Linked DNA regions of Xenopus tropicalis. The protein of the gene in region 2 interacts with the protein of the main gene of each other region in a biochemical or structural test. Links are inferred from orthologs where the notes say so. Each region holds a gene or a part of one and is shown on either strand. Other genes may lie near its edges. The genes, in order: top2a, sumo2, daxx, tpr, smchd1, sobp and pias1.

What was found.
Region 1: the proteins of sumo2 (region 2) and top2a form a complex in vitro, tested with the Homo sapiens proteins (2 studies listed by BioGRID). The link is inferred for Xenopus tropicalis from reciprocal best matches to the Homo sapiens genes SUMO2 and TOP2A.
Region 3: the proteins of sumo2 (region 2) and daxx form a complex in vitro, tested with the Homo sapiens proteins (4 studies listed by BioGRID, with this or other methods). The link is inferred for Xenopus tropicalis from reciprocal best matches to the Homo sapiens genes SUMO2 and DAXX.
Region 4: the proteins of sumo2 (region 2) and tpr form a complex in vitro, tested with the Homo sapiens proteins (2 studies listed by BioGRID). The link is inferred for Xenopus tropicalis from reciprocal best matches to the Homo sapiens genes SUMO2 and TPR.
Region 5: the proteins of sumo2 (region 2) and smchd1 form a complex in vitro, tested with the Homo sapiens proteins (2 studies listed by BioGRID). The link is inferred for Xenopus tropicalis from reciprocal best matches to the Homo sapiens genes SUMO2 and SMCHD1.
Region 6: the proteins of sumo2 (region 2) and sobp form a complex in vitro, tested with the Homo sapiens proteins (2 studies listed by BioGRID, with this or other methods). The link is inferred for Xenopus tropicalis from reciprocal best matches to the Homo sapiens genes SUMO2 and SOBP.
Region 7: the proteins of sumo2 (region 2) and pias1 form a complex in vitro, tested with the Homo sapiens proteins (4 studies listed by BioGRID). The link is inferred for Xenopus tropicalis from reciprocal best matches to the Homo sapiens genes SUMO2 and PIAS1.

The regions. Positions count from the first base shown.
Region 1 is NC_030686.2:8,636,589-8,640,088, reverse strand, and holds part of top2a (DNA topoisomerase 2-alpha), read right to left. Parts: intron 2,374-3,500; coding exon 2,290-2,373; intron 2,187-2,289; coding exon 1,992-2,186; intron 1,858-1,991; coding exon 1,728-1,857; intron 1,638-1,727; coding exon 1,491-1,637; intron 1,203-1,490; coding exon 1,028-1,202; intron 684-1,027; coding exon 631-683; intron 339-630; coding exon 186-338; intron 1-185. UniProt on the Homo sapiens protein: Key decatenating enzyme that alters DNA topology by binding to two double-stranded DNA molecules, generating a double-stranded break in one of the strands, passing the intact strand through the broken strand, and religating the broken strand.
Region 2 is NC_030686.2:44,411,113-44,415,200, reverse strand, and holds the start of sumo2 (small ubiquitin-related modifier 2 precursor), read right to left. Parts: upstream 2,801-4,088; 5' UTR 2,791-2,800; coding exon 2,770-2,790; intron 2,060-2,769; exon of another isoform or gene 1,823-2,059; intron 1,476-1,822; exon of another isoform or gene 618-1,475; intron 16-617; coding exon 1-15. UniProt on the Homo sapiens protein: Ubiquitin-like protein that can be covalently attached to proteins as a monomer or as a lysine-linked polymer.
Region 3 is NC_030684.2:72,202,352-72,206,600, forward strand, and holds the start of daxx (death domain-associated protein 6), read right to left. Parts: upstream 2,801-4,249; 5' UTR 2,615-2,800; intron 1-2,614. UniProt on the Homo sapiens protein: Transcription corepressor known to repress transcriptional potential of several sumoylated transcription factors. Down-regulates basal and activated transcription.
Region 4 is NC_030680.2:119,736,954-119,740,453, reverse strand, and holds part of tpr (nucleoprotein TPR), read right to left. Parts: intron 2,867-3,500; coding exon 2,691-2,866; intron 1,534-2,690; coding exon 1,386-1,533; intron 844-1,385; coding exon 706-843; intron 472-705; coding exon 340-471; intron 1-339.
Region 5 is NC_030682.2:107,280,104-107,283,603, reverse strand, and holds part of smchd1 (structural maintenance of chromosomes flexible hinge domain-containing protein 1), read left to right. Parts: intron 1-160; coding exon 161-254; intron 255-1,711; coding exon 1,712-1,922; intron 1,923-3,500. UniProt on the Homo sapiens protein: Non-canonical member of the structural maintenance of chromosomes (SMC) protein family that plays a key role in epigenetic silencing by regulating chromatin architecture.
Region 6 is NC_030681.2:78,843,763-78,847,926, forward strand, and holds the start of sobp (sine oculis-binding protein homolog), read right to left. Parts: upstream 2,801-4,164; coding exon 2,705-2,800; intron 2,484-2,704; exon of another isoform or gene 2,286-2,483; intron 1-2,285. UniProt on the Homo sapiens protein: Implicated in development of the cochlea.
Region 7 is NC_030679.2:117,674,199-117,677,698, reverse strand, and holds part of pias1 (E3 SUMO-protein ligase PIAS1), read right to left. Parts: intron 3,338-3,500; coding exon 3,290-3,337; intron 2,728-3,289; coding exon 2,637-2,727; intron 2,552-2,636; coding exon 2,417-2,551; intron 2,021-2,416; coding exon 1,915-2,020; intron 425-1,914; coding exon 351-424; intron 2-350; coding exon 1-1. UniProt on the Homo sapiens protein: Functions as an E3-type small ubiquitin-like modifier (SUMO) ligase, stabilizing the interaction between UBE2I and the substrate, and as a SUMO-tethering factor. Catalyzes sumoylation of various proteins, such as CEBPB, MRE11, MTA1, PTK2 and PML.

The DNA.
Region 1 (3,500 bases), about 36 Mb from region 2:
TTATTATTATTATATTTACTGTGATACAAACACCAGAAATGAAGTGTTTTACATCGGCATACTTCTGTATACACAAGGTCACGGCAAACGCAGTAAAGATCTGTAGTGGGCCAAACTTGGATATTAAGATACTTAAACAAAAAAAATTGCCCACGTTTAATATATTGCAAAACAGAAGTTCTCACCAGTCTTCGGTTTCTGGACTCGTTTTTTAGGTGCAGGTTTCTTCTCTGCCACTTTAGCACTTGACACTTTGGCACTGGGAGCCGGTGCAGGGGCGCTGGGAGCACTGGTCATTATGGGAGTATCCTCATCTTCATCTAATGCAATTACTGGAGCTAGACAAAAATACAACAGAACCAGTCACATTAATACCAAGACATAACTCAGATCTGCCAGGATACAGAATGGTTAATATATGTTGTGTTATGTTATCTATGAATATAGCATGTTTCATTGCAGCAGAAAAACAAGCCAACATATGGCTGAACTGGGGTAAACATACATGTGTGATCCTTTATTTCATTGTGGTCCCATTTGTACTGGGCTCATAAAACCCCCAAAACACGTTGCCATATGTAATGTATTACTATGTGAATATCCCAAGCAGCTATTCTTGATAAAACATACCTGCTTTGTCTTTCTGTGGAGAGTTTTCTGGGCTTTCAATCTTTTTAGCTTTCCTGTTAAATAAGTTAAACCATTTTAGACAAAACATCAAATCTTACAGAAAAAAAAGCCTTTAAATCAGTAGTCACCAACTCTGTATGTTTGCAATTCTGTTACTTTTTATAAGTTTTTTAAATCACTCCCCCTCATTCAAGTTTCTACCTGGTTGCCAGGGAAAAAATGCATGTTGTCTATATAATACTAACATTTAGAAGCTACCAATTTCCATCAGGATGCCAGTAAGGTAGTTTCCAATCACATCCTTTTTTTAGTAAGCAGCATTAAATGGTGGAAACAAAATTGTCACCAAGAAATGGCTTAAGTTGATTTGTACCTAAAGGGAGGGGAGAGTACTCACTTGGGCGCAGCTCTGGGCTTTTTGGCTGGCTTTGCAACTACAAAGGATTCATCTTCTGAATCAGATTTTGGGTTGAAATCACTGAATTCACTGTCACTCTTCTCCTGAGGCATCTTTATGCCGCTTCCCTCTTCTTCACCGTCTTCATCAGAGCTCAACATATAGTTCACTTTAGCTAGAAGCAAATAAAAACATTTGTTATCAAGCAGAACCCTTTTATGTGGTAACACATTCCATAGCAGGCCTAGGCAACTATCAGTAAATGAATGAATGAAACAATAAAGAAGCTCTAAAAACAAACAAAAAAACCCCCAGCACTGGCCTCTATAGGGCCCCCTTTTTGCACCAGTACTTGCATCAGAGGCATTTGTCGGGAAGCCCTAACACCATGTTAAACACTATGTTCATAAAACCCCAACTGTGTTCAGACTGCAGAGGTAAATTTGCTACTAGCATTTCTCACCTGCAACATTGCGGCGTGGCTGAGCAGCACGTGGCACCACTTCTTCCTCGGACTCGCTCTCTGAATCCTGGAATGTGCTCTTTGCCTCTTTTTTTACTGGCTTGAAGGGTAACGTTGCCTGCTTCTTGTCTTTGACAGCCTTTGCGCCTTTATGTAAAAGCAGTTATAGAAATGTTAGATTGCAGCATAACACCAGCATGCAAACAGAGAAGCTTTCATTAAAAACCATTTACACACCTGGCTCTTTTTTAACTTTTTTGCTTAATCTTTCGGCAAGCGTTAGGCTCTCTGGACTTTGTTCTGGTGAATTTAAGCTGTCTCCTTCACCATCGTCTTCGAAATCCATCTTCTTAGCAACATCCTCACCCTAACAAATGGCAAATGTTTGGGTACATTTTATAAATGCAAAAGTCAATACATATTCTATATATACATATGCTCAAAAAGGCCAGTTATTGTTGAGCCAAGCAAACCTAAATCTATACAGAAACGCTCGTTTACCTTAATTCTCTTTTTCATCTTTTTGGTGGCTTCCGCTTTCATGGCTGTTGTGACCTTAGGGACAACACGCCTGCCATGTGGAGATGGCATAATTTCCTGCAATTGCATTTTCTTTACTTGCGGTCTCCCACTCTTTCCTTTAACCACTTTGCCTGTTGTTACGGACTGTTCTTCCCTTTCTTTGGCTTCTACACGCTGTCACAAAGCAAGAACACAACTCCTGTTGTTGGAACCGCAGCAATTTATATAAAGCAACAAATACCAAATAGACAAAGGAAGGATAGATGTTACTACTTACGTCTAGCTCCTCAACAAATGCAGAAAGGTCTTCTTTCCACAAGTCAGAAGGTGATTTCTTTTTCAGGTCCTGAAGCTCTGCGTTCTAAAAACAAAATGACAGCATTTATTGGAAATGCCAGATAGTGACACTCACCACTAGAGAAGGTGGAAGTATTTAAATATTATCAAACCAACATCAAGGCAACTCCATATTTAGTAATAAGTAAATGCTATGCAGTAAAACCCAAGCAAACATCTCTGATGAGTTATCCGACCACTGAAAGTCACAATTAAAGAAGGGTTGGTTTCTGGAGACAGTAATGTATGTTTGGAAGCACCCCCAGTATAGTATCTGACTGTCGCCAGTGGTGTAACGCCCTAAACTGGCCAGGTCCATAATCCAGGAAAGCAAGAAAAAATGGAAGCCCAGCACACACCAAGATATGATGCTGTAGCAGAGATTTATGGTACCATACCATATGGCTATATAAGGCTGACATTTCATGGGCTTGTATCTGCCGACCACTACTGGTCATAATATCTAACCATCTTAGAATTGGCAAATAAGCCACATTTGTTCCTAGTCAAACCCAAACAACTAAATTCACTTAAGATGGAAAAACAACTCTAAAGAACTATTTTAGTTCTTTGCCATTTAAGACTTTTTGAAAGGTCTTTTATTCAGACAACCAAATCTTTGTAATGATTTTAGAGCCTTTTGAGTTTGAAGATAACCAGCCTCTGGGATGTAATGTAGAAGAACCTATTAAACTGTGTTCCCCTGTTCACACCTCAGGAGCAGTAGAAACCCACAAATAATCCCTGCATACTACAAAAAGAACATATACTGAGGTGGTACTGCAATTAAAAAGTTTTTTAATATATATTTATTGTGCAGACTGTAGGAGCAGTGCCAGCATTGTGTCACTGTAGGCTGCCTGTGTGTGCCATACACACGGGCAGCATAGGGCAAGCAGAGTATGGCACACACAGGTAGGGTAGGGAAGGCAGAGTATGGCACACACAGGCCAAGTATGGCACAAACCAGCCAAGAATGGCACACACAGTGAAAGTATGGCACACACAGGCAGGGTAGGGCAGGCAGAGTATGGCAGGTTTTTGCTGTACTACAACCATTAATATGGGTATGGTCATGTGATAACATGGGTGTGGTTTCAAGTTAATCAAACCCTGTAGAATAGTAAAAAGGTTTGCATATATCTGCTTTTA
Region 2 (4,088 bases):
GGTCTTAACACCTTCCTAAAAGAAGTAAAAAGTGGAATGAGTGCTGGGAAGGGGCATCATGGCACAGAAACACTGGTAACGCTTGTGGTTATTCATCCCGTTGTGAGAAATGAGCTCTTTGCACCCCATTCTAGAGAATACTTTGGCACCAAATGACAAAAGAACTCTAGTTATATTAGATCTGGCCGGGGACCATGCTACATTTGGTAATGTGTTCACAACGCACAAGAAGAAAGATGGGGAGCACAGAAGTTATAAGGCTGCATGTCATTACACAAAATACACCAAATGTTCCCTTTAGAACAACAGTCACTGCTGGGAGCTACAGTTCTGGAATGTTTACTGACTGCACAGGCATTTAACTTACAACTACACTCACAAAAGCTGGTCTAGCCCCTAACCTCATCGTATATATTAGCCTTACAGTACGCTTGCCTGTGTCTCTAGGTCCCCAATTAACAGGTCCCAGTGATTAAGAGAGCAATATCACATTGAGGGCCAGTATGCAGAATAACATGGTACTGCTTCACAGTGTCACAGACCCTGAATCTAAAGACTTAATACAAGTTTAAAAGTTCTCAGAACTTTCTTTCCACTGTGCCTAATGCACCTTACCCTTCCTGCTTCTAACACGTGTTCCTCCATTACCTACACTACTTCCTCAATTCTAAAATTCCTTCCATACTAAGAATTCTCCTTCCTTAGGTCGAAGACACACAGTAGTAGCAGCTACTTGTCACAGCTACTAAAATATTCAATGCCAATCAGTTACTGATAATTCTCTGTTTTCGCAACGCTCCATACTGTCTAAGGCAGGGGATTTTCTGGTGTTTTGTAGCTGTAAAAAATTAGTTGCTGCTAGTAGCTCAGTGTGTCTTCACCCTTATGCCCCTTACTCTGCATGGAATGCCCCCAACATAACCTAGGCTTCTGGCCAGTATTAACTCTATTTAATGGCACTGAGCCCTGCATACCCATTTTCCCACCATTAAGCTCTCCCATAATACTTGCCCTTCTCACTGGCCAGAGGCTACATCTTTTCCCACTCAACATTCTTGAATTCCTCTCTCCCCAAGTTACCTCATTCCCTAAAGTCAATGCCCCCAACATACCTGGGCTCAGGGCCCCCTAAGCTCCCAATTCCCAGCCCCAGTATATGCCCCCAACATACCTGGGCTCAGGGCCCCCTAAGCTCCCAATTCCCAGCCCCAGTATATGCCCCCAACATACCTGGGCTCAGGGCCCCCTAAGCTCCCAATTCACAGCCCCAGTATATGCCCCCAACATACCTGGGCTCAGGGCCCCCTAAGCTCCCAATTCACAGCCCCAGTATATGCCCCCAACATACCTGGGCTCAGGGCCCCCTAAGCTCCCAATTCCCAGTATATGCCCCCAACATACCTGGGCTCAGGGCCCCCTAAGCTCCCAATTCCCAGTATATGCCCCCAACATACCTGGGCTCAGGGCCCCCTAAGCTCCCAATTCCCAGTATATGCCCCCAACATACCTGGGCTCAGGGCCCCCTAAGCTCCCAATTCACAGCCCCAGTATATGCCCCCAACATACCTGGGCTCAGGGCCCCCTAAGCTCCCAATTCCCAGTATATGCCCCCAACATACCTGGGCTCAGGGCCCTCTAAGCTGCCAATTCCCAGCCCCAGTATATTCCCCCCCAACATACCTGGGCTCAGGGCCCCCTAACCTCCCTATTCCCAGCCCCAGTATATGTCCCCAACATACCTAGGCTCAGAGCCCCCTAAACTGCCAATTCCCAGGCCCAGTATATTCCCCCCCCAACATACCTGGGCTCAGGGCCCCCTAACCTCCCAATTCCCAGCCCCAGTATATTCCCCCACAACATACCTGGGCTCAGGCCCCCCTAATATCCCTATTCCCAGTATAGCCAAGGTCGCCCATTCCCATTTACTTCCCATCTCCCAATACTGGCAGTGCCCAACATACCCTTCCCCAGTGCTCCCTGGTTCCTGTCCTCCCTTCCCCAGTGCTCCCTGGCTCCTGTGCTCCCTTCCCCAGTGCTCCCTGGTTCCTGTGCTCCCTGGTTCCTGTGCTCCCTTCCCCAGTGCTCCCTTCCCCAGTGCTCCCTTCCCCAGTGCTCCCTTCCCCAGTGCTCCCTTCCCCAGTGCTCCCTTCCCCAGTGCTCCCTTCCCCAGTGCTCCCTTCCCCAGTGCTCCCTTCCCCAGTGCTCCCTTCCCCAGTGCTCCCTTCCCCTGTGCTCCCTTCCCCTGTGCTCCCTTCCCCTGTGCTCCCTTCCCCTGTGCTCCCTTCCCCTGTGCTCCCTTCCCCTGTGCTCCCTTCCCCTGTGCTCCCTTCCCCTGTGCTCCCTTCCCCAGTGCTCCCTTCCCCAGTGCTCCCTGGTTCCTGTGCTCCCTTCCCCAGTGCTCCCTTCCCCTGTGCTCCCTTCCCCAGTGCTCCCTTCCCCTGTGCTCCCTTCCCCAGTGCTCCCTTCCCCAGTGCTCCCTTCCCCAGTGCTCCCTTCCCCAGTGCTCCCTGGTTCCTGTGCTCCCTTCCCCATAAACCTAGTGGGCCAATGCAGTGCAGCCTCCCATAACCAAGCCCCGCTAGTATGGGCGTCCCTCTCCCGGCTGTCTCCCTACGGGCCCCTCCCGTACCCACAGAGCCCCCGCACAGCCCGCAGGCCGCTGCCCCCTCCCTTTAGCGCCTAGGCCTCTCCCTCCTCCTGCCCCGCACCCACTGCCCCCGGCCCCAAGCCCGCTATGCGACCCTTCCCTCTCCCAGCCCGGAGCAGGACCTTGGGCTTATCGTCCGCCATTGTCAGTTCGCTCCCGGTGCCCGGTACTCTCGCTGCTGCCTCCTCCTCACAAAGAGCCTGAACTGGCGCGGGACGTGGAACGAGAGCGCGCACGTACGGAAAGGAAGATTTGGCGCACTCTCTGCGTGCGCGCCCCCGCCGCTATTTCCACTGTAGGGAAAAGCCCGCCTTGGGGAGCACGTGGCGGCGGGGGCGCGCATGGGGGGAGGGGTCTGACTCTGAGGAGAGTCAGGGTGAGGTTGGGCCGCATTGTACCCGGGATTGGCTAAATCCCTTCCAGTGACTTCATTGGCCTAGTCTCATAGAGGGGGCAGGAGCCATGATAGAAGCTTCCAGAAACAGCCCCCCCTATAATTAAGCCAAAGGAGGAAGCCATACCAGTTGCCATACCAGTTACCTTTTCACTAAAACTTTATTTTGATCAGTCCTGCACTTAAGGGCAAATGCCCATACCTGGTGCCTCTTACCTTCCAGTTTGTGCCTGTATGTTACCCAACCACTTAGATTGTAAGCTCTACGGGGCAGGGACCTCCTTCCTACTGTGTCTCATACCCCATGGCACTTACTCCCTGTGTATTTATACTTATTTATTGAAATTTATTATAACACTTGCCCTACCTGTGGGTAATTGTGTATATTGTAAGATTGTACAGTGCTGCGTATCCTTGTGGCGCTTTATAAATAAAGTTATACATACCAAAAACATAGAGAAGCTAACCATATCCAAAGCTACCAGACAAAACATAAAAATCATATCCAAACCATATCCAAAGTTACCAGACAAAACATAAAAATCATATCCAAACCATATCCAAAGTTACCAGACAAAACATAAAAATCATATCCAAACCATATCCAAAGTTACCAGACAAAACATAAAAATCATATCCAAACCATATCCAAAGTTTCCAGACAAAACATAAAAATCATGGAAGGTGGCTGCCCTTTTAGGGACATAAAATACAGCCATTTCCCAGGGTGGGACTGGACGAGCGGAACGATAGGAGAAAAACCGTCTGTTGAGGTGGTGGACCCCACACACCTCATTCCAACACTGGGATTTACTGTCTTTCTTCCCTATTTACTGTTAATAACACTGACAGCCTTCTGCTCCTCATAGTTACCCCCCCAAAAATGAAAAGGCCTAAAACCCACCCAAAATTGCCTAGGGTACAAGCAGTGCATATTGGGACATGGTTATAAGGGCATTTATTTTCTTTCATTTGGAGTTTGCTTGTAAGGTGGAGATCTGTAAACAACAAAGGGATGACAATACAAATGTCACAAGCAAAAGGGAG
Region 3 (4,249 bases), on a different chromosome or scaffold from region 2:
AAAAATCTTAGCTAGACATACCCAATTTAGTAAAAAAACAAATGAAAACTATAAATGTTGGGGAAGGTAGGAGAGGATGGCAGGGTGCAGAAATAGGAGGTGAAATGCGACAACTAATTAGCACACCGCAAACTGCTGCAGGATTAGTTGCAGTGATTCGTATATTAGCCTATGGTCAGGTGAGGGTGTTTACTGAGGCTCCTGGGCCCACACGTAGCATATGGCGCATATTTTTGGCAAGCCGAAAAACGCATGCTGAGAATATGCTCTATACGCTTAAAAATCCCCCTACCTGTGCCTGCACCCGAATGAATTGAATACGCTCGGGTGCAGGCACATGTAGCCGATATCCGCCTAAACGCAAATGAGGCAGGAGCTTTTTTTATTTGCCTAAAAAGTCATCCATCCATTTCTTAAAACTAATGTAAATGCAGGTACAACCACTTTAAAAATAGATTTTCCACAACTTCACACCTCAGTTCATTTGATACAATGCCAGATAGGAGGGATTGGAAATACATTATGTAAGGCCAAATCATTTTTATCTTTTCTGATTCTTGGAAGTTGTGTAGAAACCACTGTTGACCTCAATTAAATATATTTCATAAAATTATGTGCTGGTAGACTTCTAAGCAGATATATACTAAATAGCTGCACAAAAAAACAGTGCAATCTGCATTGCACTTAATTGTGAATTGGCTATTCAGCCAGTTGACTTTATAAGTTGGTGAGGATATTAGTGTTTTATATTCAATTTCAACAAGAATGAGCTGAATGAGATCACGTGCTGCTTCATGTTTTTTTTCCAGTCACTTCTACAGGAATTGTATACTTAAAGGACATGTAAACCCTACATTTGCCTACAATGTATATCAGTTGGGCACGTCTCCCCCACCCAAATGACATCATTTGCACTGCATATATCCTCTCCGCTTGCTAGCACCATCACATTTTCCTAAAGCAAATAGCAGCTTTCACCTGGTGGCCATTTTTCCTCTAATACATAATCAGATACATTTAAATATGCAAACAGCATACACACACACAGACCCTTATTCAGCATACATTCCATCAAGAATACAGGCTTACACAGGCACAACTGTCTTTGATAAAAGTTCTGCTTTGTTTGAGTTGAGCTCAGGAGAGGAGGTTAGGAGAAAAAAATTGAAGCAGACAGCTAGAGCTGAGTTTCTATGGGAACCAGCAATGCCATCTCTTCACTGGCTGCTAAGACTGGAGGGCGTGTCTAGTAATCTGAGCTTAGAACAACTGAGCATGTCCACAAGCCAGAAGTCAAAGCAAATTCCTGAGGGTGGGGGCCGAGTGGGTTACAGGAGGAGCATCTAAGTGATTAAGGAGATGTTGCAGCCTTACTATTAAAGATTTCAAAGAGGCTGTTCGCTGATTAAATTTTTGTGTGTGGGGTTTACATGTCCTTTAAAAGAATAATTATACCCTAAAAAGTAATATGGCTAGAAACTGAAATTATTGGACCAGCCTAAAGGTTCAGCATCTCTATATTAGTAATGATCCAGACCTTCAAACTCATGACAGGAGCTCCCCATCTTCTGTTAGAAGTGCCGGTGACACTCACACGCTCAGTGGGCTATGGGCAGCTGTTAAAAAGCTTAGGGGTCCTCACAAATTATAAAGCAGAAAATGAGGTTTGCCAGTCATGTAAACTAATGCTACAGGATTTACTAAACTCTAAAGCTAAGTGTGATGTAGGAAGAGGAAAATAGAAATGGGGGTCCCTGAATTACCCCCATATATGCCCCCCTCTTCTGGGTTAATAAACTTTAATATTTAGGTGAAATGTCGACGAAGGACATAAAGCTTTTCAAACTAAACAATGCTGATCCCATTGTGGTGGACATGAAACCCAAAATTTCACACTGGGCACAGCTTAAATGATCTTAACCCAAACAAGGGGCACATGCCCCAGATGTAAAGGTGGTCCTGGGGCCTGGTTACATGTAAAACTGTCTTGTCCGGATATCCATGATTATTGAATCCTGATCTTAGCTTTTATTTCTAAGGGAATGGTCCTGAAAATAGAACCCAACCCAGCAACTGCAGTTTTAGGTCTGACTACTGGAATCACCTCCTGCAGAATACTTTCCTTCTACCTGTATAGTTCTATGTAAAAAAAGAAATTATACTTAGTGGAATAGATTCAGATAGAGGCTGTAAACAAAGCCCTACCATTTTATAAGGTACATTTGGCTTTTCTTTTTCTTTTTTCTTTGCTTTTCTCCCTTTTTCTCACTTTCTATTTTATAATTCGCATTAAAAAGGGAAGGAGGTCCCTACAATAAGTCTGCACACAACATTAATGTCTATAAAATAATCAGATAGCTTTAATGCCATTAAATACACATGGAGCTATAACATCTCGCCACCGCGGCTGCCGTATGTGTGTGACAGACGGGAGTTCCAAGGCAGCTAGCAGGGCCACAGACCAACTGCATTTGCACGGACACAGAACACTTCTCTACTTGTCTTTAACTGCTGCCAAATGTTACGCCTGTCAGGTTACAAGACTTCTTCCAAAATCTTTTTGTTACTACAATACCACCCCAATATATAGAAAGCTAAATAAGCAGGTGATTACCTTGGTGAGTAGCCGAATTTTTAGCAATCTGCCACACGTAGTACCATAGGCGCACAGACTATATTATAAAAATCGTATTCCCAAACACAAATAACATACGGTATAATCGGAAAATTATCGCGCCAGTCCCACTCAACGTCCGCTTCCGGTCCCGTTTAGATTCAGCTATTCCACTATCTGCTTCCGTTTCCGTGTAAGAAAGTGGGCGGTGCTTGCGACGTAACGTAACCTTGCGTAGGGAAGTCTGAGCCGCAATGAGTTGTTTTTTAGTACAATTAGCATAACCCAGTCTCTTTCCCTATGGTGCTGGTACTGCTGTCCAGGCACTGAGGCTGATACAGTAATCTTTTTAAGTTTAGGGAGGCTCTAGGTATGACTTACTGGTAAAACTGTACTGATTCATCTCCTGCAGCAAGACAGCTCTCTCAGTCTGCTGGCTTGTGTTACATTACATAGTAACATAGTAAGTTAGGTTGAAAAAAGACATATATCCATAAAGTTCAACCATAAAGTATGCCTCTGCCTGCCCTATGCTGCCTGTGTGTGCCATACTCTGCCTGCCCTATGCTGCCAGTGTGTGCCATACTCTGCCTGCCCTTCCCTGCCTGTGTGTGCCATACTCTGCCTGCCCTTAGCTGCCTGTGTGTGCCATACTCTGCCTGCCCTACCCTGCCTGTGTGTGCCATACTCTGCCTGCCCTTCCCTGCCTGTGTGTGCCATACTCTGCCTGCCCTTAGCTGCCTGTGTGTCATGCTCTGCCTGCCTTACCCTGCCTGTGTGTGCCATTCCCTCCCTGCCGTATGCTGCCTGTGTGTGCCATACCCTCCCTGCCCTATGCTGCCTGTGTGTGCCATACCATCCCTGCCCTATGCTGCCTGCATGTGCCATACTCTGCCTGCCCTTAGCTGCGTGTGTGTGCCATACTCTGCCTGCCCTTCCCTGCCTGTGTGTGCCATACTCTGCCTGCCCTTAGCTGCCTGTGTGTCATGCTCTGCCTGCCTTACCCTGCCTGTGTGTGCCATTCCCTCCCTGCCGTATGCTGCCTGTGTGTGCCATACCCTCCCTGCCCTATGCTGCCTGTGTGTGCCATACCATCCCTGCCCTATGCTGCCTGCATGTGCCATACTCTGCCTGCCCTTAGCTGCGTGTGTGTGCCATACCCTCCCTGCCCTATGCTGCCAGTGTGTGCCATACTCTGCCTGCTCTACCTGTGTGTGCCATACACACAGACAGCATAGGTCAGCTATGCAGGGATTAAAAGGTGTGAACAACACAGGGGATTACATTTTTAAACAATACAGGGGTTTACAGCCTGAATCTGAGGTGAGAACAATGCAGGGGGGCAGTTAATCTCAGTACTGATACCATTTAAAGTTTACACAAAGGTAAGCCATCAAAGCAGCCAGACAGGTGGGGGGCCACACAGAGGGGGTCGCCAGTTGGACAGCACTGATCCAGAGGAAGGCAGAAAACCCCATCTGAAGCCTCTTTAATTTGCCATAGAGGGGAAAAAATTCCTTCCTGACTCCAAGATGGCAATCGGACCAGTCCCTGGATCAACTTGTACTAAGAACTATCCCCCATACCCCTGTATTCCCTCACTTGTACTGAGAGCTATCTCCCATACCCCTGTAT
Region 4 (3,500 bases), on a different chromosome or scaffold from region 2:
ACAGGTTTCCCTCTGTGACCTGTGTCAGTATGAATCATGTGCTAATGTTATTTTAATGCAGAGCACTATATTTCCCCAATACTCCTAATCTTTTCAGTGAAACTTCCGATTTGCGTCAAAATGACCATCACACACAGCTGTGCCAGCTACAACTTGCAGTTTGTAAATGAGCCCTATGCTCTGGCAATATTGGAATACAGAAGGTTTAGGGAAATGGCTCAAAGATACAAATATGCAAAGTTATTATTCGATAATGATTCAGTTAATGTGCAATGAACTATAATACATAACTATGGTAGCATTAGCTAGCTTTTCTATGTATAAAATGGCGGGACAGACCTGTGTTCGAGCCCTCCAGCGCTTGACATCCTCCTCCAATAATTTCTTTTCAGCCTGCAGCATTCCACTCTTCTCACTCAGCTCCGCATTGGATTCTTGCAATGGCAGGATGTTTGATTCAAGTTTACGTATCTGAAATATTAGTATTATCCAAATTATTAATTTCAACTCACAACAATTTAAACTTCATGAAGCCAATAATTCACACAGCAGTAACCTACAAAACAAACCTCAACTGCTATTGCAGCACTTTCTGCATGCCAAATAAAAGGTTAAAGTTTCAGTACCACCACCATCCAGGGCAAGTTTAACAGAAGGACTGTCCAATGATAGAGCTGCAAAAGCATTTCTATGTTCCTCACTCACCTTTGCTTGCAGTTGCTGCAGTTCCTGTTCTTGCTTTTCCTTCTCTTCCCTCAAAATCCTGTTACTTTCTATTAGAACATTCATAGTTTCGGTTTTCTTCATTAGTTCTTCATGCTGAGCCATGGTCTTGGCAGTTACCTTTGAAGAGTGCAAGTTACATCACAAACTGTTGCATGTTACATGCAAGTAGGAAGTCACACATAAAGTACCATAATGGTTTATTTGATAGGTAGACACACTACAGGATTTAAGATGCAGTAGGAGTATAAATAGTTACGGGCTCTCTTTAAATTAAACCAACCCATATCAATTTGCTTGGATTGTACCTTAAAATGGCTAGCATATTTCTGGGGGAAATATTTTCAGATGACACGTTAATTGGCAGGTACAATCCACAGCTGTACCTCCACCACTGTCACTGTGCTGCATGTTAGTATGGATGCGAACAGAAACACTGATTATGTACAGTATCAAACCAAATTAGCCCACAGCCTAAACAGACAGATACTGTACTATGAGCCAGACAGCTCCCCTTCACTTCCTTGTCAGTGTACCATGCATTGGGCCACATGGTTTATAAGTAGATTGTTATAGGATGCCTGGTAAATAAACATGCCAATATCAATGATACATGCTCCAAGAGACTGAAGAAATCTAGCATAAAGCAAGAGACAACCTACCTGCACTTTCTCACGCTCAGCATTCAAGCTGTCCTGCAGCTCATGCACTTCCCGTTCCATGTGCTCTATGCGCTGTCTGTACCGCAAGCATTCAACTTGTGCAACTTCAAATCTGGCTTCGGCTATCTCCTTCTCCCGCCGAACAAATCTACAAAATAGGTTGCATTTCACTCGAGATAATGAGCCAAGAACGGTGCAGACTACCCACCATTTGCACAGTTCTGTTATGGCATTATCAAGTTATTGAGATTTCCTTTTGAGGGCAGAACTCAAATTACTGCTTTTTATTCCAATTCTCATCTAAAACGGGCTTGTTGCGGGCGACTAATCTCCGCGATATGACATCCCACCGGCTTGAATGTAAATCACCAGTGGGATGGCATATACGGCTCTGCGATTTCGCAAAATCACGGAAGATGCCTTGAGAGGAAACTTCCGCAATTTCGGGAAATTGCAGCACTGCATATGCCATCCCAATGGCGATTTACATTCAAGCCGGTGGGATGGCATATGGGGGAGATTAGTCGCAGGCGACTAATCTCCCCGTCTACCATGGCTATAATTCAGTTTTTACGGGGATAATAAGGCCCACTATAGGCCCTCAGTAAGTGTGGAAATATTTAAAATGGACTAGTACAGGTATGGGATCACTTATCTGGAAACCCATTATTTAGAAAACACCATAATACAACACTATAAATTCCCGCATGGCCCTGTTCAAACAAGCATTTTTTTCCAGATTTGCTTTTCATCTATAATAACCAGAAGGTACAAGTAGTTGATTATAACAAAGATATGAAATCCATACAGATGGCAAAACCACCCCGGGTGCTTCAAATTAAAGAGAAACCTCAGAATTCCAGAACACCAGGTGCCAAGCATTGCAGGTAACTACTACACCTGCATTGTTCTCAGAAGAATGATAGGTAGATAGATGGTTTGTTGCAATATCCCTAGTCAGAACCCGCATAACATTAAACTGCATATAGTTTAAATAAGAAATGCTCAAATACACACAGCATTGGCATTGCAGCACTGACAACAAAAGCATTTTGCCACAGTAGTACTTTGAACTGGCAGGACACATATGCCTCTTCTGGAGAAACTCAAAAATAACAGTAAGGCAAGTTACATGGCATGTGCCACTGAATTATAGAATTTCAATTTGTAATAGATAAACTACCTTATTTGCATATACAATATCCAATTTAAATGTAAGGTAAATGTATCAAGTGGCTCATCTAATCTCAGAAGTCAAATATATTTTACCAAATAAGGAGTTTCTTATGCAATAAAACAGTATACCTGAGAATTTCCATTACTTGCTCCTGGGACTTGCCCTCCTCACCGAATGATATATTCAACGCTCCCTCCTGAACAGAGCTCACCATCTTTTTACTGAGGCTTTCAATCTGCTCATGAAGCAGTCTGTTCTGTTTTTCTAGATCTTCGCAACGTGACTGTATCTGGGACACTTCCTCCTACAGTTATGTAGCAAGTATGTAGCAGTCAGAAAAGCCAAAAATATATAGATCATTTGAAAGAAAGCTTTAATAGCACAGCCTGACTTCAACCAGATATAAAAATAAATTGGACAATGGAGTCAGTGTGACTTATGTGTAAGTAATACAATATAATATACTTTGATTGTAAGCTCCACTTGGGCAGTGTATAAGAGTATAACATCTATAAAGTGCTGCTAAATATGTCACTGCCCACACAGGGATGAACCTCCCGAAGCGGGCGGCCATGTTATTTAGCATGCGCATTAGTGAGACTCAATACTGTAGGAGCCTATTTTTTTTTTTTTTAAGACTGTTTCCCTCAACCGAAGCGCGGGTTCTATTATTCTGCACCTCTGGTGGGGGAAGCAATTTTAGTGTGATAGGGCAACTTTAAGTGGTTTAACAAAATTATTATATGAGCGTTTTAGGAATTAGCACTATTTTTATACATAGCCTCCCCATTTTCAGGGGCTCAAAAGTGCATAATATTTTTTGCATCCAACGTCAGCCTAAAGTCTGAAACCCATGATTTGCTTAAAATGCTGGGTTTCCACCCTGGAGATGCATTACAGCAGCTATCAGTTTCTTTACTTGCTAAAAGTGCAGACGG
Region 5 (3,500 bases), on a different chromosome or scaffold from region 2:
TGATAAAATATATGAAAGACATGGCTGAACCAGGAGAAAACCGATAATGAAATGTGGGGAAGACATAACATAACTACCTAAAAATATCCCTCTTAGTAATTTTAGTCAGGACTCTGGAGACATATTTTCATCTTATTTCTAATCGGCCTTTTTGTTTCAGGCATATCTATCATTACTACCTCCATGGGCCAAAAGGAAATTATTTCAATAACAGGAAAAGCAGTTCATTGCCATCCACTAATCTTGACATTGAGGTAAATCATATTTTTTTTGTATACATAATGCATCTTTGTTTTTGGCTGATCTGAAAGGGGCCTTTAGAGTTTACCACTTGTGACTGCTGTCTAGATCTTCAGTTTCATTTTTGTAATACTGCAGGCAATGGGTAGGATATTAGTTAACCTAGGTAAAATGTATGGAGGTCATTCATTCTAACATATTTTTTTTTTTTTCCAGTTCCCAAATTAATAGTCATATAGTGTGATAAATGAACCAAAGACATCCTTCAGATGTCATTAAAAGAAGCCTATTAAAGAATACTGGGCTATAATAGAAGAGTAAATCAAAAGGAACGGAGGTTATAGGAATCAACTCTTTTGATATTTTATCTTTTTGCTTCATATGGTAAACTGGCACAGCCTATTAAACATCTTGTTGTGAGTGTTGTTTCAGTAGCTTGAAGTAGTACTACTTTGTAAGCAAGGTAAGGATTTAACTGCAGCATGGCACTGATTAAAATGGAGCCATGAAACATAAATTATGCTGCAGCATTATTTAGGTCTCTAACAGCTGATGCTATAAAATGTATGACCTATGTTTGGCATTCGGTTCAAGAATAACTCCCTTCATTCAAAATGAATAGCAAATCTACAGGAGCACTAAGGGGCCCAACTATGAATAAACCTCAATGTTTATACGGGACCCAAGGAGTACTATGGTAGTTAATCCAGGTTGTTGCAGTTCCTCCTACCTGTTAAACTGACAGAACTTCACACTAAATTTTTTTTGGTTCCATTGCTTATTATTTACGGAGAAAGAAAGGCAAAGTCACTTGGGGTGCCAAAATGTTAGGCGCCCCCAAGTGACTTAAATCGCCTACCTTTTACCCCGGGCTGGTGCCCCTGTTCGGAGAGAACAGCACCAGCCCGGGGTAGCTGCAGCGCTTCCTTCTTCCTGCTTCAGTGCGCGCGCATGTGCAGTAGAGTGAAAAGCCGAACTTTAACAGAAAAGTTGGCTTTTCACTCTACTGCGCATGCGCCGACCGCTGGCATTTTTGGAAAAGGAAGGAGGAAGCGCTCCGCTACAGGTACCCTGGGCTGGTGCTGTTCTCTCCTAACAGGGGCACCAGCCCAGGGTACAAGGTAAGCGATTAAAGTCACTTGGGGGTGCCTAACATTTTGGCACCCCCAAGTGACTTTGGCTTTCCTTCTCCTTTAAGCATAAACTCTCAACACTTTTTTTGTCTTTTAATATAAAACTCAGCCATCACTATTTAGCTTAGTTTATTGTTTGCTTTGTTTTTACATTACATATATTTTTTCCATGACTTTTAATTTATATTTTTTTTTGTAGAATATCTGTATGCAGGTCTGCTGTGGGTTATTTAAAACACATCATTTTTTTTTTGTTCTGCTTTTTCCCAGTTTTCTTTTATTGTAAAAAATTTGCAATAGCAGCTTTTTCTATTATAAATGCCTTTTTTATTTTACAGCTCTCCTTGTTTGAAAAGGGAAAGTCACCAAAGATTGTCAACCTAAGAGAGATCAAAGATGACATGCAAACACTTTATATCAATACTGCAGCTGACACATTTGAATTTAAAGCCCTTGTTGAAGGCGAAGGGGTTGTAGAAGGTGTTATACGTTACCACCCATTTTTATACCACCAGGAAACCTATCCGGAAGATCCTTATAAGACAACAAGTAAGTAAGGCTTGGGTATCTTTCAGTTAGCAGCTATGTAAACACCAATTTAAAAAAATGTATATGCACCATACATGGCATATATGAAATTATAATATTTTTGTGATCTACTTCTACATTCTTGAATACAGTCTCTAAATACATTTTCAAATAACTTCTCCTCTACAGTTATCTGTAAGTACAAGATTAAGATGCAAAAAATAATAAAAGCGTTGGGGAGCACTCACTGCTCTAGATATTTTCTAATATTTACTAGTGTTTCAACATTCCCAAACAATAGCCATGACTATTTTTGGCATCATTTGCTCATGCTTTTACTCCTTTCTTCTATTTTAGATTACTAGTCCACTCCAAATACTACTAGGCCACTCCAAATACTGAAATTATATAAACTTTAATCCAGTGGGCTGGTACAGTACCGAAAATTGGAGTCTGGGAAGATTAAAATTAATAGCCTAGCTTTATCCGAAGTCTTGTCCCCAAGTACTTTTTACTTTATTATTTCATGAATCTGGGTCTTGTTCTCAGTTTTTTGGTCAAATGTTTGAAGACCATGTATTGAGTGCTTATGCCAGACTGTTTAGCCTCTTTGTTGCCTCATGTTGCTTTGAGTATTAAAGGAACAGTAACCTGTTGCTTTTGAGTATTAAATGAACTAACACTAAAAAATGTTTTAAAGTAAATAAAATATATTGTACTATTGCCCTACACCAGTGCTGTCCAACTGGCGGACCCCTCTTTGTGCCCCCCCCCCCCCCCCCCCCCCCCCCCACCTGTCAGGCTGCTATGACTGCTTACCTTTGCATAAGAATAAATGGTATCAGTACTGAGATTAACTGGACCCCTGCATTGTTTACACCTCAAATTCAGGCTGTAAACCCCTGCATAATTTAAACATATAATTTCTATGTACTGTTCACACCTTTTAGTCCCTGCATTGTTCAAACCTCAGGCTCAGACTGCTGTAAGCCTCTACATTGTTTTCCTTTTTACACCCCAGACAGACTGTAGAGGCAGTGCCAGCATTGTGTCACTGTATGTACAGCATAGGGCAGGCAGATAATGGAACACACAGGCAGAATAGGGCAGGCAGAGTATGGCACACAGGTAGTACTCTGCCTGCCCTACGCTGCCTGTGGGAGGTGAACCTGGCAGGGATTTGTTCTGGAAGTTTGTTAGCATTTGGAAATAGCCATTATATGGTCCCTAAGGTGTGTTATTATATGCGTGGGATTGCTGTGCTATCCAGAGTGGTGGAGGAGGCATATGGATTTAAGGGTATGTCTTAAAATTACATAATATAATTCTTCACATATGAGCAAAGGGTGATATCCCTACAGTGAACACCAACCATTTGGGTTTTTGCTGCTCTACCACCATTAATGTGGGTATGGTCTATTCTTTAAGAGGCCTCCATGCCTTGAGATAGAGTGCCTGTTCCTTAAAGATTGATTAAAAGGAGAAGGAAAGGTATTTTGGCATTTTATTGCCAATAGATTAGTCACAATAGTGCAAGCTAGAATTCTATATTTATTCTACAGAATGCTTTACCATACCTGATTAAACAGCCATTGAAGC
Region 6 (4,164 bases), on a different chromosome or scaffold from region 2:
AGTTCTTTTTCTTCTGTTAGCAGAGAGAGGCAACTCAATCCAATGTGGTTTGAAACTTGAGTAGGTCACTGTACACCATGATAAAATTCCCTAATCCCTGGGCCAAATTTCCCTCAGGGGGGCCTCCTCCTACCCCTTTACTTTCCAAGCTGACTTTTCCATTCCCACTCTCGTGTTTCCCTCTTCTTCATTTCTTTCATTTCCCCTACCTTAAAGCCTTGATACCCGATCCTTTGCCAATGCTCAGGTTACAGTTTTTACAGCTTAGACCGTCTATTGCTGTATACATTCCTTTCTTTCTGCTCTGCAGTGATTACTTACCAGGGCTTATTTTACACTAGCCCAGATGAAAGCTGTTCAGATGAAGGGAAACATAGCCAGGCTGTTTGAACATTACAGATATGAAACTACACAAGAGCACATTGTGTCCCTCTTGACATTTTGTCTCAAACTCATTTTACACTGTTTCCACTTTGCTGTTACTGTATTCCAAGCCCCATATAGATGGAGCCTTCTTGCATTACTTGATTGGTCAGAACAAAAATAATCCCCTTGGTGGAAAGTTAACTGTTTTCTTGGAATTGTGGCTATGCATGATGAATCTGAAACAGTGCAATTCCAGGGCAGGGGAGAGAGATGCAGTGAGGGCAATGGTTAATCACTAGAAATAATTAAGCAATATTTCTGCTGGGCTATTTTTGGTAGTAGTAGGGTCCCAGTATTTATACAAAACAGGACTGGCCAACCTATACTCCTTCAAATGTTGTTCAACTATAACTCACTCAGTACTCACTACCTGCAGCTGGAAGTTGTGCCTTTAATAAAAACTGAAGGGCTGCAGGATGGACAATACCAAAGCTGTCTCCATCTTGCTCTACTGCTGCCATATTGCTCTACTATACCTGTTTTCCTACATTGTCCCTACCTATCCTAATAGCCCTACTATGTGCAGTAGGAGGTAGCCTTCCCCTATTAAGACCCCCCATACAAACAGCTCTGATTTCTATCACATCTAAAGATGTCTAATGCAAAAATATTGTTACCCTTTCTACTGTATGTTTTAGCAACCCAAGACCAGAACACTGTAAAAAGGAAATTCTCAGAGATACTGTTAAGTTTAGTCCTTAATACCAAAGCATCAGTTCAAAATTGTGTAATTTTCCCTTCACACAATGTTGTTTTTGTTTCTACCCCACCAGTTCAGACAAACATCTGCTATGAAGAACAGCTATCTCCCAAACCACCGAGTGTGCCTGCAGCCAAAATAAACAAAACAAACCCAGAGGATCCAGCACAGTCAGCCTTTATATCCAGCCAGGATAACATTTCACATGTTTTGATTAAAATTAGCTAATTTGTAATTCTAGAACCTATGTTAAAAGCTGCAATCCATATAGATCACATTAAGCGATGGCTCAAAGCTGCCAATGACAATGTGATAGATTGGGCAACTTGGCGGTGATGAAAGTAGGTAGGTTAACCAACAGCTAAAATTAACCATTTCTATTAATATGTTCTCATATGAGTAAAGTTTTGTTATATATAAGTAATACAAAAAAATAGACCCTAGTACACCAGGAGTCATGATTGTGTTCATTGATCACCATACAACTGCCCATGTCTTTACAACCTGGCAACATGTGTGAATAGCATGACAAGTAATCTATTTTCTTTTCATTACTATGTAGCAAACCATTTCTCTAAGAAGAAGAAATGGTACAGTATAACATAGACATACACCATCAAGATATAACATAGACATATACAGTAAGGGTCTGTTATATGTAAGCAAGCCAACGTTCCACATGGAAGTCTCTTGCCAATTAGCTGTTAGTACATCCAGTAGCTTATAAAAGCAGCAGGGTGAAATTAAAACACTGGGTCTCACTCAGGCCTAAATTGGTTTAATGCCTGTACAATCAGCAGAAGAAAAGCATAAATGCTAGTTAAACGCCTTCACTTTTAGATTTTATTTCAAGGGATACTGCTTGCTGAGCTGGATCGACACAGATTTCTGAATACACCATGGCAATCTTCTGCTATGTAGCAGCACAGTGAGCTTAGTAGGACCTGGTGGGATGCAGGTTCCACACTAACATCTGGAAGACCAGTCTCATACAACAGGATCTCATAAGCAACCCCTTTTGGGTTTCCAAAAATAGCTGATCCAGTCCATGACAGGTATCTGACTACCAACAGAAAGGATCATGTAGCTTCAACTTTCATTTACAATACATATACACTTATTGCAGCATTCGCTTTAAAGGCACTACAAAGGTACAAACCTGTTGAAGAACTGCAACTCTCAACTTCAGCCGACGCAGGTATACAACAAATGCACAAGAACCACTCTAACCCCCCATTGACAAATGTATGCACTAGACAATTTGATAGGAGGGCGAGAGGAAGCAGGGGTTCTTAATATGGAAGCACAACCTGCCTGTAAAAAAGTCTTTGAATAAAGTGACAGGCTGGCGATACAATAAGCAACGTGTTCCCGTGGAGCAAAATCAGCGCTCCGGACTGTGAATCTGTCTCTGTTTTCAGCCCAGGAGGCGGGGCTGTGCCATTGAGCGCATCTTACAGAAAATGACAAGCACTAACATTATATACACATATATTATATGTTCCCGGCGTTTATACTGCAACAAACAACAGAGGAATAGAAGGAGCCCCATTCTAATCTCACAGTGCCATCTCTTACCTTCATCTCCTCGTTGATCTCTCTTTTCACAGGGTGGGCAGGTTTCCTGCTTCTCTTATTTTCTGGGGGTCTCCCCTCTTTTTCCATTTCTGCCATTTTTTTTAGTGTGCGTGTTTCTTGCTTCTACTGCTGAAATGGCTGCTAGATTATAAAGTGTATGGGGGGATTTGGGGGGAGCAGTAATGGGAAGTGGCGATTCCCCCCCACCCACCCAATGTGTTCAGAGGTGAAAGGCGTCAGGAACTGTGTGAGGAGGGAGCTGTATAGGGAGGGCTGGTGATGCCAGGCTGAGGGGCTGTGAGTGCCCTGCTGTCAGCTCAGCCATCTTCCGCCTATGGCTCAGTGTGCATGAGTGTCAGGCTTGTTGCTTTGTGTCTATGGCAGTGTGTGTATGTTTGTGTGACTGTAGCAGGGGGAGAGGGAGGAGAGACAGAGAGAGAGCTCCTTGTGTAGAACAGTAGAGGGGGTTTGTCCCTCCCAGGCTGTGAGAGAGGAGGAGGAGCGCCTGCCAAAATGTTCCTCTGCGCCTCCTCCTACTCACACACTGATGGAGAGAATGTGCCAGGAGCGCTGCTGGACACATCTGGGAGAGGTGGGAGTCAGGCTGGGATAGTGCCACGAGTAGCCTCCTTCCTCTCTTCCTACTCACCAGCCCCATTTGATGGATTCCCTCATCAGTCTATGGCAGTATAGTAATGGCAGTCCAACCACACCACACTGGTTTTCACACAGCAGTAATAAGGTTGAAATAGATTTTATGCACTTTTGAGTAAGACTCTCAGATCCTATTTTTATTCGTTAGGGCATTGTAATAACACAGATTTTTGTAAATGTAAAACCCTGCACAACCACCTATATAAATAAACAATAATGGAGACAGTAAAACCAATATGCACTTCAGTTTCATGCCCCTTCTGGGGTGAAATACCCCATTATACGCAGTGACATTTCCAATCTCCCCATTCCTGAGCACAATTACACATGGAGCACAAGTTGTAATTCTATAACGTCTTTACTTTTTAAATGCCCATAGATAGAATGTTTTATTTCAATGCTTATAAATGCAAGGGGTGCTCTGTGTACAGAAGTGCTATTCCCACCAGCAGGGACTTACCTACAAAAATAGCAGGTCCTATGAACACTGAGAGGCCCAGGAGATATTGGGATCAGCGTCGAACAATTTTTAGGTAATGTTTAGCAGAATTGTGTTATTCCTGGTGTTTAAGGTTCCCCTAATATGATTTTATTCTGGTTATGGCACTGCTCCCCAGACAGATGCCATTGTTTAGCTCTCCACCTGAGTGTACAAAAGCAGAAAAAAATCAGTGAGAGGCATTACTATAATAATGTGTGAGTTGCTAGCGTTTCTATGAGTCACTTGCACTCTGTGACTAGGCAAGAGATTCAGCCCTGGCTGTGGGATCAGATAAGGGCAAGTAAGAGAGCGGCATTCTCCTGCC
Region 7 (3,500 bases), on a different chromosome or scaffold from region 2:
GCTGAAATGAAAAAGCAGCAACATGACAGATTGTTGGTTAAAGAAGGAAGTGTAATTAAGTAGAATTCCAAATAATTTTCTAAATAATTGGCATGCAGGTTTTTTGATGAATAAATACCAAATCCAAATAAATTATTTTACAGAAATATAAAGATATGTTTTACGGAGCCTGCTTCACTGCAGAGTAAAATAAAATGATTCACAGAAGTTTTAGAACAGAAGCATGCAAGAAAATTATGAGATAGATAGGACACTGCTGTCAACAACAGGTCAATTCTTACAATAAGAGATTGGATAACAGTCAGGGAAAGGTTTCAGATTGGCTACAAAAGTAATCAAAAGGCTTTTACCGGACACAGAAGGGAGACACGTAAACTGGTTGTGGCGATTTCACTGTCTGGATCAGCTGTGAGCTTCTCCTTAACTAAAGGGAAAGCAAAAAGAATATATAATGTAATTATATAAGTACAGGCATGGGACCTGTTATCCAGAATGCTCAGGGGGTTTTCCAGATAAGCGATCTTTTTGTATTTGGATCACCATACTATAAGTCTACTAATCTACTCATTTAAACATTAAATGAGCTCAATAGGATTGTTTGGCTACCAGTAAGGATTAATTATATCTTACTGTTTTATTATTACTGAGAAAAAGGGAAATTTCTAAAAATGTGAATTATTTTGTTAAAATGGAGTCTATGGGAGATGACCCTTCCATTATTTAGGGCTTTCTGGATAATTGATCTCATACCAGTCATTTGATTTGGGGAAAAACAGTTTACCCACTAGGATCACTGACCCATAGTAGAGAGAAAAAAAAAAAAAAAACTTGTAACAATCTCAAGCTGACTGATTCCTTGTACAATTCTTGCATTGATATATTTTATTCACTTTTCATTTCTAGAGCATTTCAGATTGTGTAGTCATTATGGTCAAGATCACATTGTCTGGCAATGTTTTCCGGTTTAGAAATTACAAATCTACTAATATATTTTGGTTGTAGCCTTATTTATAAAGCTTTGGGTAGGATGCAAAGAGGTGGAATCATCTACATTTTGTATTTACTCTATTGTTATATTCTTTGTTCCAGAAAACTCCTACCATAAATCTAAGGATCCTTGGTATTTGAACTTGCTGCTATCACATCTGTCTGGGGTAGACCCAGCATGCAGACAACGTTCAGTAGCCAAGCCTCTTTCCTGGCATTAGAGTAATCACTAGCAAGTCAACTGTAGAAAATGGTGACCTGTAGTACTAAAAAATTCTGTGTATGGTGCCGCCACTCAAGAAAGATTCTCTCAGGAAAAGAAAATAAATGGCTTGTGTAAACCCAATTTAACTTACAAAAACAAATGATGGTCCTAGTGTGGCATGCCCTCACTGACAAAACAGCTGGGCTACTACAGAAGACCCGGTAGCTCAGACAATGCTTTAAAAACGAAACAGAAACAAAACAAAACAAAAAAAAAAAAAGGATTCCTGTATTCAATATTCATAAAAGCCTCCTGCCAACACGATAGAAATTAAAATTAATGTTCTCTTTTTCTTAAACTATGCTATATAGGTAATTTCCCCTGGTGTGTTTCGGTTATGGTAGAAGGCATGAGGTTTTTGCCTTTAGTTTTGATGCCTATTTATGGGACGTATCGTTCATGTGCCTCTTTAAAAAGGCATGAGTACGGTATGATGAATCATTAACATCAAATAAAAAAAAAAAATATACAATGTGCAATGATGAATAGAGCAAGGATGAGAAAACGAATAGCAAGATGTTCTACTTTGTATTATTTCCTAGTCAAAGGGCTGCAGAAAAGAGAAAAGAAAAGAACCTAGTTGACAGTGCTCATTCAATCACTTCAGGGAACAAAGGAGAAAATAAGAAGACCAGAAGCAAAATAAGCAGTTTATTTCTTACTCAGAGCCCTGGAATGGTCAGGGTTGCGGATTCCTTTTGCTCGCAGTCTCTGAAGCAAGATGGCCGATGAAAGCTGCTTCACCAGATAAACAGCCAAAGAAAAATTCTAAAGATAAATAAAACTCAGTAAGCAACAGAAATCTACACAACACTGAATAAGGTACTGCTCTTTTATATGAAACTGGAAATCCTTAGAAGTAATTTATAGTTGATGAGAATATGTATCTTTCTGTCTTTTCCCACTCAGTAAACATTAAGGAAAGGAATTTATAAAAAAAAAAAACAAAAAAAACAAAGGGGGGGGGGGGGAAGACCTTTAAAAGAAAACATAATATAGCCAGACATTGGTCACTGGCCATTTAATGTGAACTAAGTCATAAACCTAAAGAAACGGAACAGAAATAACCATTTATCCAATTCAGTAAAGACAACTGTGTCTTACTAACCTAAAACGCACAATACACATGTAGATACTGGCTGTTATGAGTTCTGGAAGTCTTACCCTTCCAATTTCTGCAGTCCACGACACCACAATTGTGTTTGGGACTGTTGTGGAAAGCCGTACAAGTGAGGTAATATTGATTGGTCGACTAGGTCGCTTTGGTTCAACCCCATTTTTAGTTGGTGGAAGATACCCCTGTAAACAAGGCAACAGCAATGAAAGTCTTTGTATATGAGACACAAAGCACACAATAAAAGAAAAGTCAAGGAGATTCACTTACTGGAAGGTTACATGGTTTTCCATTCACCTTTACACACAGATTTGGTGGAAAATGATCTTCTTGGGGGCAGCTTGTCTCAGAGAGACAGAACCTAAAAAAAGAAAGGAGTTTACCCCCAGGCTGATGGATTAAAATAGTGGCATTGATAACACTATGATTGGACCACTAAATTAAAAAGAACACTTTACATCCTTTTCATGGGCTAAGAGAAGACTAAGATACTTAAATAACCCCAGCAGTCTGATCTTAATTTAGTCATTTAACTTTATTTCTAAAATGATGCAGATTATATCAAAGGAAAACTATACCCCCAAACAATGTAAGTCTCTATAAAAATATATTGCATAAAACAAGATCATATGTAAAACCCTTCTTTATCTATGTAAACCATTTTCATAAAAATATACTTTAGTAGTGTGTGCTATTGGGTACTCCTAAATAGAAAAATGCCATTTTAAGAATTAAATTAGTGGACAGAGTTCTGCCTTTTACATATAGATATAGAGCAGTTTGGAGAGATTCCTTAATAGGTTACTTTACTCCCAAAATGAATACTTAAAATATAAACTGTTGTTACAAAAAGAGACATCACAGTGGAAAGTGAAAAGACACAAACCCTTTTGCCACAACATATTTTGTGAATGAAAAGATACCTGAGCTGCACTTGTACTGTGAAGTCACATTTTGTCCCAGAGATATCCCTGGAGAGGAAAAAACAAAAGAATTAATACAAAAGATTACAGGCCCGTGTGGATCTATGCAACTCAGATGATGCACCAGTGCATGAACAAAAGGAATCCTTTTACTACCCACAAATATCAACACACGAGCTACAAAGTCTCCATTCCTACTAGAGAAAGAGTT